Caenorhabditis elegans: one gene and its partner. The protein of the gene in region 1 purifies or fractionates together with the protein of each later gene. This does not show direct contact. Each region holds a gene or a part of one and is shown on either strand. Other genes may lie near its edges.

Region 1 (3,823 bases):
AGTTTGTCCTTGGACAATTTGCTCAGCTTCTTGCTGTTAATTGAGACATAGTTCAGCAACAAAGTGGTGACCGTGCACTGCACCCTCCCTAATTTCAATGCTCTTCGAGTTGACGTGGTTAAACAAAAAAGGATAACTCTTTGTTGCATGTTCTGGTACAAAATTTCTAAAATTTTGAAATTAAATTTGGTTCACTGATCAGCAACAAGAGGAAGGAGGTATATAAACCAAAAAATATTCTCGAAAAGTCATCAATCAATCATGATTTTCATATTCTCGTTCCTATTGGTCCCATTGACCGCTAACGCAGCCATTACTGGTGATTTGAACTGTACTTCTTATAATGGAACTTCGGTACGAATTTGAAGTCTAAAATATTTTCAGTTAAACATAAAAATTAGAATTTTAGCAAAATTTAACGTAGAACTTTCCGATTATAAACTTCATAAGTTTCAGTATATATAGAGTTTCTTGGAAGAACGTCACACAAATTTTTGATTTTTTTTAATTTTTAAAGAATCCACAAAACTCAAAGATTTCTTTTGAAAATAGAAAATCGTCCACTCTTCAAATTTTCAAAACTTCAAGTCAAGCAGTTTTTTCAATTTTTTGGTTTCAAACAACTTTTAAACATAAAGCAACTCCCAGTACCTAAAAACCTTAAGTTATCTTCACCTTTTATCGATTTTCAGTTCGTCTACACCCCATCCGCTGTCGCATGCTCTAACACAATCTCTGATGCAGCTTGCCAAGCTCTCTACGCTGCTCCAGACACCACTGCCGGATACCCATCAGCTGGAACCGATGCTGAACGACCATTGAACTGCTACACAACCGCCACAGCTACTCCAGCAGCTATTGTTCAAGACATGAAGACTGCTGCTTTGGAGACTTGTGCCAAGACTTGTGGATTGTGCTGCCAAACTGATGCATACAGTTGCAGTAAATGTTTGAAAATTCTAAGAAAATTCAATTGCATCAAATCCAAGAAATAGGTGGGGCCACTTCATGAGTTTGAAAGAGATTAACACCAATTTGAAATAGTTACTTTGTGAATTCTACTTCCGTAATTGTGAACGAATTGTTATAAGGCATTTACGGCAAATCGATTCTCAAAAGTCACGTATTCCGAACACTGAACCCAATGGTTTTTGACTTGGGGTACTACAAAAACTACAATTACGTTTTTAAAGTTTCAATTAATGTTATAATTATTGAAATTTCCTTTATGAAAAATTAAATCTTAAAGGGAAATTGTTAAGATTTAAAAATAAATTAAAATGTTTCGATAAAGTTACATATACATTGATCGAAGCCGACTATCAGATTGACACAAACAAAAACAGGTAAAAAACTGATCATCAAAGTTTTCTAATGATCAATTAAACGAAAGAAATCAAAAACAGAACCTGTTAATGATCTGTAAAATATATCAAATTGAACACATTTTTTAAAAATTCAAATGTATCAGATAAACCCATTAAAGGGTTAGAACTTTTTAAGTGAGAATTTGTAAGAAATTAAAATTTTTTTCATCGACAGGCTAACCTAGCAGGCTCCTCTAACAATTCCACCAATAAATTATTTTCCAATTTCAGACCCACGCCTCGACTGCTCAACAATCACCACTGCTCAATGTAACTCTATCATCTGGAGATCCATCATTGCCACCGACTGCCCATCTGCTTGCGGATTCTGTAACGAGGGAGGATGTGTTGATGCTCTTGTTGACTGTGCCACTGATATCTCAATCTGCACTACAGTTGGAATGCAAGATTTCGTGAATACCTACTGCCAAAGAACATGTGGAAGATGCCCATCATCAAGTACAACCTCTTCAAGCTCCACAGCTTCATCTTCCTCCACATGCACTTCTTACAATGCTGACAGTTCATCTCTCTGTTCCGATTGGGCGGCCAATGGATTCTGCACCAATGCGTTCTACACCAGTGCTCAGAGAAAATCTTATTGTGCATCGACCTGCAAGATTTGCTAATTTTTGTCTTCACATAATTTATCACCCCCGCCCCATTTTTTTTTCCAGCCCAGTGACGCTTTCTGAACCCAATTACCTTATTCATTCTAACGGAACTGACCAATCCAGTAAAAATATCGAATAAAAAGCGTTGTGATTTTTAATGTACAAATGAATGATTGCATGGAAAGCTAACATTGTTTGAACAAGCAAAAAACGTTGGTAAAATGGAAACAATGAATTCATCGCTGTGCACTATTGTCAGACAGGTGATCAAATATGATGAATAGGAGTATATAAGAGATATCGGTTTGTCGAGTAATCATCCAAGAATTTCAACAGCAATTCATCCAGCAATGTATTTCCTCATCAGCCTCTTCTTCGTCCCATTCAGCAGCGCCGTTATTGGTGGTGACTTGAATTGTACTACTTACAATGGAACAGCGGTATGTTTTTAGGATAGCGTTTCGAAGGGCCTCTAATAGTAAGAATATTAAAATTTCAGTTCGTCTACACCCCATCCGCCACAGCCTGCTCGAACTCGATTTCCGATTCATCGTGTGCTGCTCTCTACCCACCAGCAGATGCGGCTATTGGATACCCAGCTGCTGGAAATGATGCTGAAAGACCATTTGCTTGTTACACAACTGCCACTCCAACTCCTGCTCCAGTTGTTGCTGACATGAAGACTGCTGCCTTGGCCAACTGCGCCAAGACCTGTGGATTCTGCTGCTCAACTGACGCCTACAATTGTCCAAATGTTGCTTGTAAGTTCCTATTTTTATTTTAGTATTCCTAAAACACGCTCCCACTTCTTTCAGTCCCACGTCTCAACTGCAACACAATCACCAAGGCTCAATGCGACTCTGTCACTTGGAGAACCATCATCGCCGCTGACTGCCCATCTGCCTGCGGATTCTGCAACCAGGGAGGATGCGTCGATGCTGTCACCAACTGCGGAAACGACTTGAGCATTTGCCAAACCGTCGGAATGCAAGATTTCGTTAACCAATACTGCCAAAGAACCTGCGGAAGATGCCCATCGACAACTGGATCCGGAACTGTCACCACTGCATCTTCGGGATCTTGCACTTCATTCGCCGCCGACTCCAGCTCATCTTGCTCAGCTTGGGCCGCCAACGGATTCTGCACCAACACCTTCTACACAGCTGCTCAACGCAAATCCAGATGTGCCACAAGTTGCAGACTCTGCTAATCTATTAATTTATCAATTTTCTCTGACATTTCTCCTTACTTCTTTCAAGACACACATCGGGTGACTATGGAACTGACCATTCCTTCCGTACAATAAATGTTTTAACGTGCAAGTTTTTGGTGAACAGTTTACAACAATAAAACAGGCATGTTTTCAGGCGTACCTTGTACCTTATACCTACCAGAACTTTTCCGTTTTCTCAGTTATTTTACCGTGGTTTTTTGCAGAATTTGAGAAGTATTAACAAGCATTTTGGTTATTAAAGACTAAAGGTTTAAGTTCATTTTGGCGGTAGGCAGGTGTAGGTCATGTTCCACTAGATGTGTGTCTATCCACCTACGTGTCTTATGAGTGACAAAATGGGTAACGGGAGGCCAGAATTCTGGCTTTTACATTATTATCAGCATTGTTAAGGAAAAGGCGATAGAGGGCGATACAGATTATTTTTCATAACTGCAACAAAAAATTCGGTTCATTTTAAATTCATATCGCAGTTAAAACTATTTTAAACGTTTGATCTTCTACTATTTGAATAATTTGATTAGCTGATTGGCTTATGACATCAGCTGCGGGAAGTCATTATGCAAACGTGAATAATTTGGTAGTACGTGTGTTTTATTGTTTTCTATTTT
Region 2 (4,398 bases), on another chromosome or scaffold:
TTCGAAGACAATTTCTTGCCAAAATTTTGCCTAACAATTATTAGTTTCGACTATAAAAATTGGGTAATATATTTTGGATCGAGTTGGATCAAACTTTGGATATATTTTACATTCAGAAACAATAATAGCTATCAAATCACTCAAATTAATCCTTATAAAAATTCAGAGCCACGTTCATTTTTCACTGCAGACTCCTTCCCTAATGTATTCAAATATTCAAAATTCTCACATGTTGCGGGCTTTTGTTTTGCTCTAGATCTTTTGATTCAAATTTGAAATACGAAACTTATGACCTCATTTTTTATTTATCCATAGAAATCTGAAACCAAAATAAACTATTTTGAAGCAAAAAAAAAATGTTTCGCAGCAAACAATCTCATTGCCGCCTTCCCTCTATTCTTTTTATTCGTCATTGGCGTTGACTGACTTTCACGCAAACTCAGCAGAAATGTTGCCATTTGTTTCTCTTTTACATGCCGACACTGATAAAAGCTTATACATGTGTACGTCTTTAGGGAATCGAAAAATCTTTGGTAGAGACAAAAGTTTGTTTCAGGAAAAAAAATTAGACAGGGAACTTTCAAATATTTTTCTTGAGCACGTTTTGAGCACACCATAGTTATCTTTCAAAAATAATTTCTTATTACGCAAATTTTAATACTTTGATTAGTTTGTTTGGATTGCAAAAAGTGAGTAATTAGTCACATACTTAGAAAACTTGTTCATTTCAAAACTGAACGGTTTTCAAAAGGTTTCTCACACTATCATCGAAAAAACAACGAACTTTCTATTCTTGTGAAAACTTTGGGAATTATCTTCAAATTTCGAAAGTTAAAAAAATCTTCATCTAATCCTCTTGCACTTTTGCGACTGCACTTGCGTAAGTTTCCGAAGAAAGCGCTTTCAACAACCTTGAATATTCAAAAACCGCACACTTTCCTTGACCCAGTTTTCTTTGGTCCTCTAACTGTAATCTTTTCCAATCATACCTGATGAATTTGAAAATCCTTCATTGTCAAGGGTTTTGCCATCTGTCCGCAAGTCATATTATTCATCATTTTTTGGAGTCGAAGGATCTCCATTTTGTACTCCTCTCCATAAAGATTCTCGCACATTTTGGATCTGAAAAAATTTTAATTAACATTCAAAAGTGTCTAACGTGGTATTGGAGGCAAAAAAAATAATGTTGCAAGAGTTAAGAATCTATGTAATTCAAATTTAAAATCCGATTTTATTGGCGGGCGAACGAGAAAGAGATTGCTGGCAGACGGTAGAGCGGTGTGTCTCCTCTGCCTCTGCAGCGAAAACTGTCTGCCGGTAAAGAGCACTCGGTTAGCGGAGGATGGTAGAGAAAGAAACAGAAAGGGCAACCTTGGCAAGAAGATGGACTGTGACTGTCGGTAGGCAATTCTTCGGTGGTTCTACAACAGCTGGTGTCCCCCTGAGCGCGGACACAAAGGGAATAAACCAGCGCACATTATCTCAAGTCAGCTCTCTGTCATCTCTTCTTCTCGCGTGCTCTCTTGCCTTCCGACTCTTCTCACCGCTGCCACCATTAAAACAGAATGCGTTAAACGCGCTCTATTGACAAACGTGATGAGCTCGAACTACATGCATGTTTTTGCTTGATGTTTTCATACTTTATACGAATTTCGCAACTTTCTTTTATGAGTTTAAAGTTGTAATTGTTCATTCTAGATTACAAATGACTCAATTTGACAAACAATTTAGGTATTAACTGAAAACATAACACTCTTTTTTCAACAGATAACAAATATTTGTAATTAGTAAAAAATTGTCATCTTCACTCCCCCTTGTTTCTTTTTAATTGAAAACGCGTGTAATATTTTACCATCCAGCACTAAATTTTCAGATGAACAATATCCGTGGTTGGTTTTCATGTTTGGCACCGTGCTTCGACTGTGTGGAAGGCTCCAGTTTTGACAATGCCTCGTATCCACGATTTAACGCAGTCTACCAGCCAACAGTACGACTAGATGTGGGGAGAATGGGTATGGTTTTGAACTTAAAGTTGGCTGGCTTGTTCACGTTCCAAAATCTTCACACTTTAAACAAATATTTAAAGGTGTAGTAGAGTCAACTTTTTTTCGTTTAAATGACAGAAAATAGACCCTAATGAAAATATTTAAAAAAAAAACTAAGTGTTAAAAATTTTTTCAATTTCTCAAAAATGAAATGAATGACTTCATTTTTGGTATTTTCGCGTTTTCGTCGATTTTTCTTGATTATTCTTTTATATATGGTTTTTTTGGAAAAATGTTGGAAAATTTGACAAACAGAGCCAAATACAGAGAAAAAACTTGAAAAAAAACTTTAGCATTCAGCCAGAAAACGTGAGAATATCAAAAATGACGTCTCTCATTTGCGCGGAAATTTAAACTTAATTTTGGCGTTTTTTTTTGACTTTTGAAAAATTGAAAAAATTTATAAAAAATTGAAAAATGTTTTTATTAATATTTTTCACAGTCATATTCGGTCACTAGGGTCTATTTTCTGCCATTTAAAGCAAAACATTTTTTGACTCTACTCCACCTTTAACAATCCAGCAGATAAAGTTTCATTAACATGAGTATGTTTTACTAAATACGCTATGTAGTAAAAAAAAGCAAAAAAAAAAGAACTTTAAACTTTTTATAGGTAAAAATGTAGTTATTCTCAAAGAAGGAGAACGAATTTGCGGTATTGGAGGAGCGATTGCAACTGTTCCAATTGTGCAAAACAAAGCATATTTCCAAGTGACAGTTCAACAAACCGGTGAGTTTTTGTTTTTCAAAACTAGTGTTTCCTCAAATGAAATTAAAAAAGTACAAATGTCTTATTTTCAGGAACATGGGGAATAGGCTTAGGACAAAAGCAATCACCATTCGACAAAGTCCCATGCACTGAAAAGTTTTGGGGAATCAGAGATAATGGAGACATTGCAAAGGAAAATGAGGTCGTGGCAAAAATGACAAAAACTGTGGAGGAAGGAGATGTTGTGGTGCGTTTTATAAGCAGAAAAATGGAATTATTTCGTACTTTCAAAACAAATTGCTAGTTTTTTTTAAAGCTTAACATGTCTTACAATGGAATACAAATAATGTGATACAATTTCAAGTAACGATTGCAAATACTCAAATATAATTTGAAGTTTAAAGAAAAAAAAACAAAAGTATTAAACTATTTGTTACCAAGTAAATCTGTTAAAAACTCAACCTTTCAGGGTGTTGCATATGACCACGTGGAGCTCAAGTTCTATGTAAACGGAAAAGCAGTGGAAGATGTGATAACTGGAGTTCGAGGCCCGGTATGCCAAGAGATTATTTGAAGGGATTAAGAAATCACTTAGGAACAGTGCCTAATAAGATTAAGATTCAATATTCATTCGTTGCGCTCAACTTTTTAATATGATCCCTGGCTTGGAATGCAACCATTTGGACACAAACCACAATTTTCCTAATCAATTTTTTTATTGAAATTGTTATCATTTTCAGGTTTACCCTATGGTGTATGTTGACGACTCAGCAATTCTCGATCTCAAATTCAAAAACTTCACGGAAGCTCCACCAGCGGGATTCGGAGAAATTCTCGTGGAACAAACTATTCTATAAATCTTGCCTGATTTTAAAACCATTGACCGTGATTTCCTTCGCTCTTGTGACTTGTCAATAATGATTTTGAATTTCATTGAAACTCCTTAATTTAATCTAAACAAATATGTTCTTATTATTATCAAATAGTATTGAAATTAACACTTCAAAATTGTAAGTTACAATTTCCGTGATGGAGAGTAAAAAATACTAACTTAATACAAACTTTCAGTTCAAACAGAAAATCTGAAATTTTAGGCATGTGGCTGACCGCACTTTTTTAGATGCAATATAACCGATTATTTGTTTTCATATTTACTTACATTTCATAACTTTAAAATTGATCCTGAAAATCAGTTTTTTTGATTGAACTGAAAACTTCTGGCACCTGGAAAAATTTTGTTATTAAATTCTGAAAGCGCTTAGAATTTGAAACAAGTCCCCGAAGAAACATTTTCAAAAAAGTTCATTTTAAGTCAGATATTAATTTTCAAAGTTACACAAACTAAATAAATCTCCTAATAAACAAATGCGGTCATTTATATGGCTCAAATTCAGTTTTCTGGATTGAACCTAAAACTTCTGGCACCTGGAAAAATTTTGTTATTAAATTCTGAAAGCGCTTAAAATTTGAAACAAGTCCCCGAAGAAACATTTTCAAAAAGTTCATTTTAAGTCAGATATTCATTTTCAAAGTTCAGAGTTCAGAGGTAAGAACTTGTTCAGATTTTTTGCAAATTGATCAAATTGAAGAAAATTGATTTTTGATGCCGCATTATGTTTTGTTATATTCAAGTAATCCTGTTGT

What was found.
Region 2: the proteins of phat-4 (region 1) and F18H3.1 fractionate together in Caenorhabditis elegans (co-fractionation; one large-scale study listed by BioGRID). This does not show direct contact.

The regions. Positions count from the first base shown.
Region 1 is NC_003283.11:4,127,607-4,131,429, forward strand, and holds phat-4 (ShKT domain-containing protein), read left to right. Parts: upstream 1-2,297; 5' UTR 2,298-2,331; coding exon 2,332-2,421; intron 2,422-2,480; coding exon 2,481-2,742; intron 2,743-2,796; coding exon 2,797-3,191; 3' UTR 3,192-3,303; downstream 3,304-3,823.
Region 2 is NC_003284.9:13,517,790-13,522,187, forward strand, and holds F18H3.1 (SPRY domain-containing protein 7), read left to right. Parts: upstream 1-1,873; coding exon 1,874-2,012; intron 2,013-2,658; coding exon 2,659-2,775; intron 2,776-2,846; coding exon 2,847-3,001; intron 3,002-3,223; coding exon 3,224-3,307; intron 3,308-3,494; coding exon 3,495-3,611; 3' UTR 3,612-3,729; downstream 3,730-4,398. Other genes in the region: cdk-4 (Cyclin-dependent kinase 4 homolog), read right to left, coding at 990-1,115.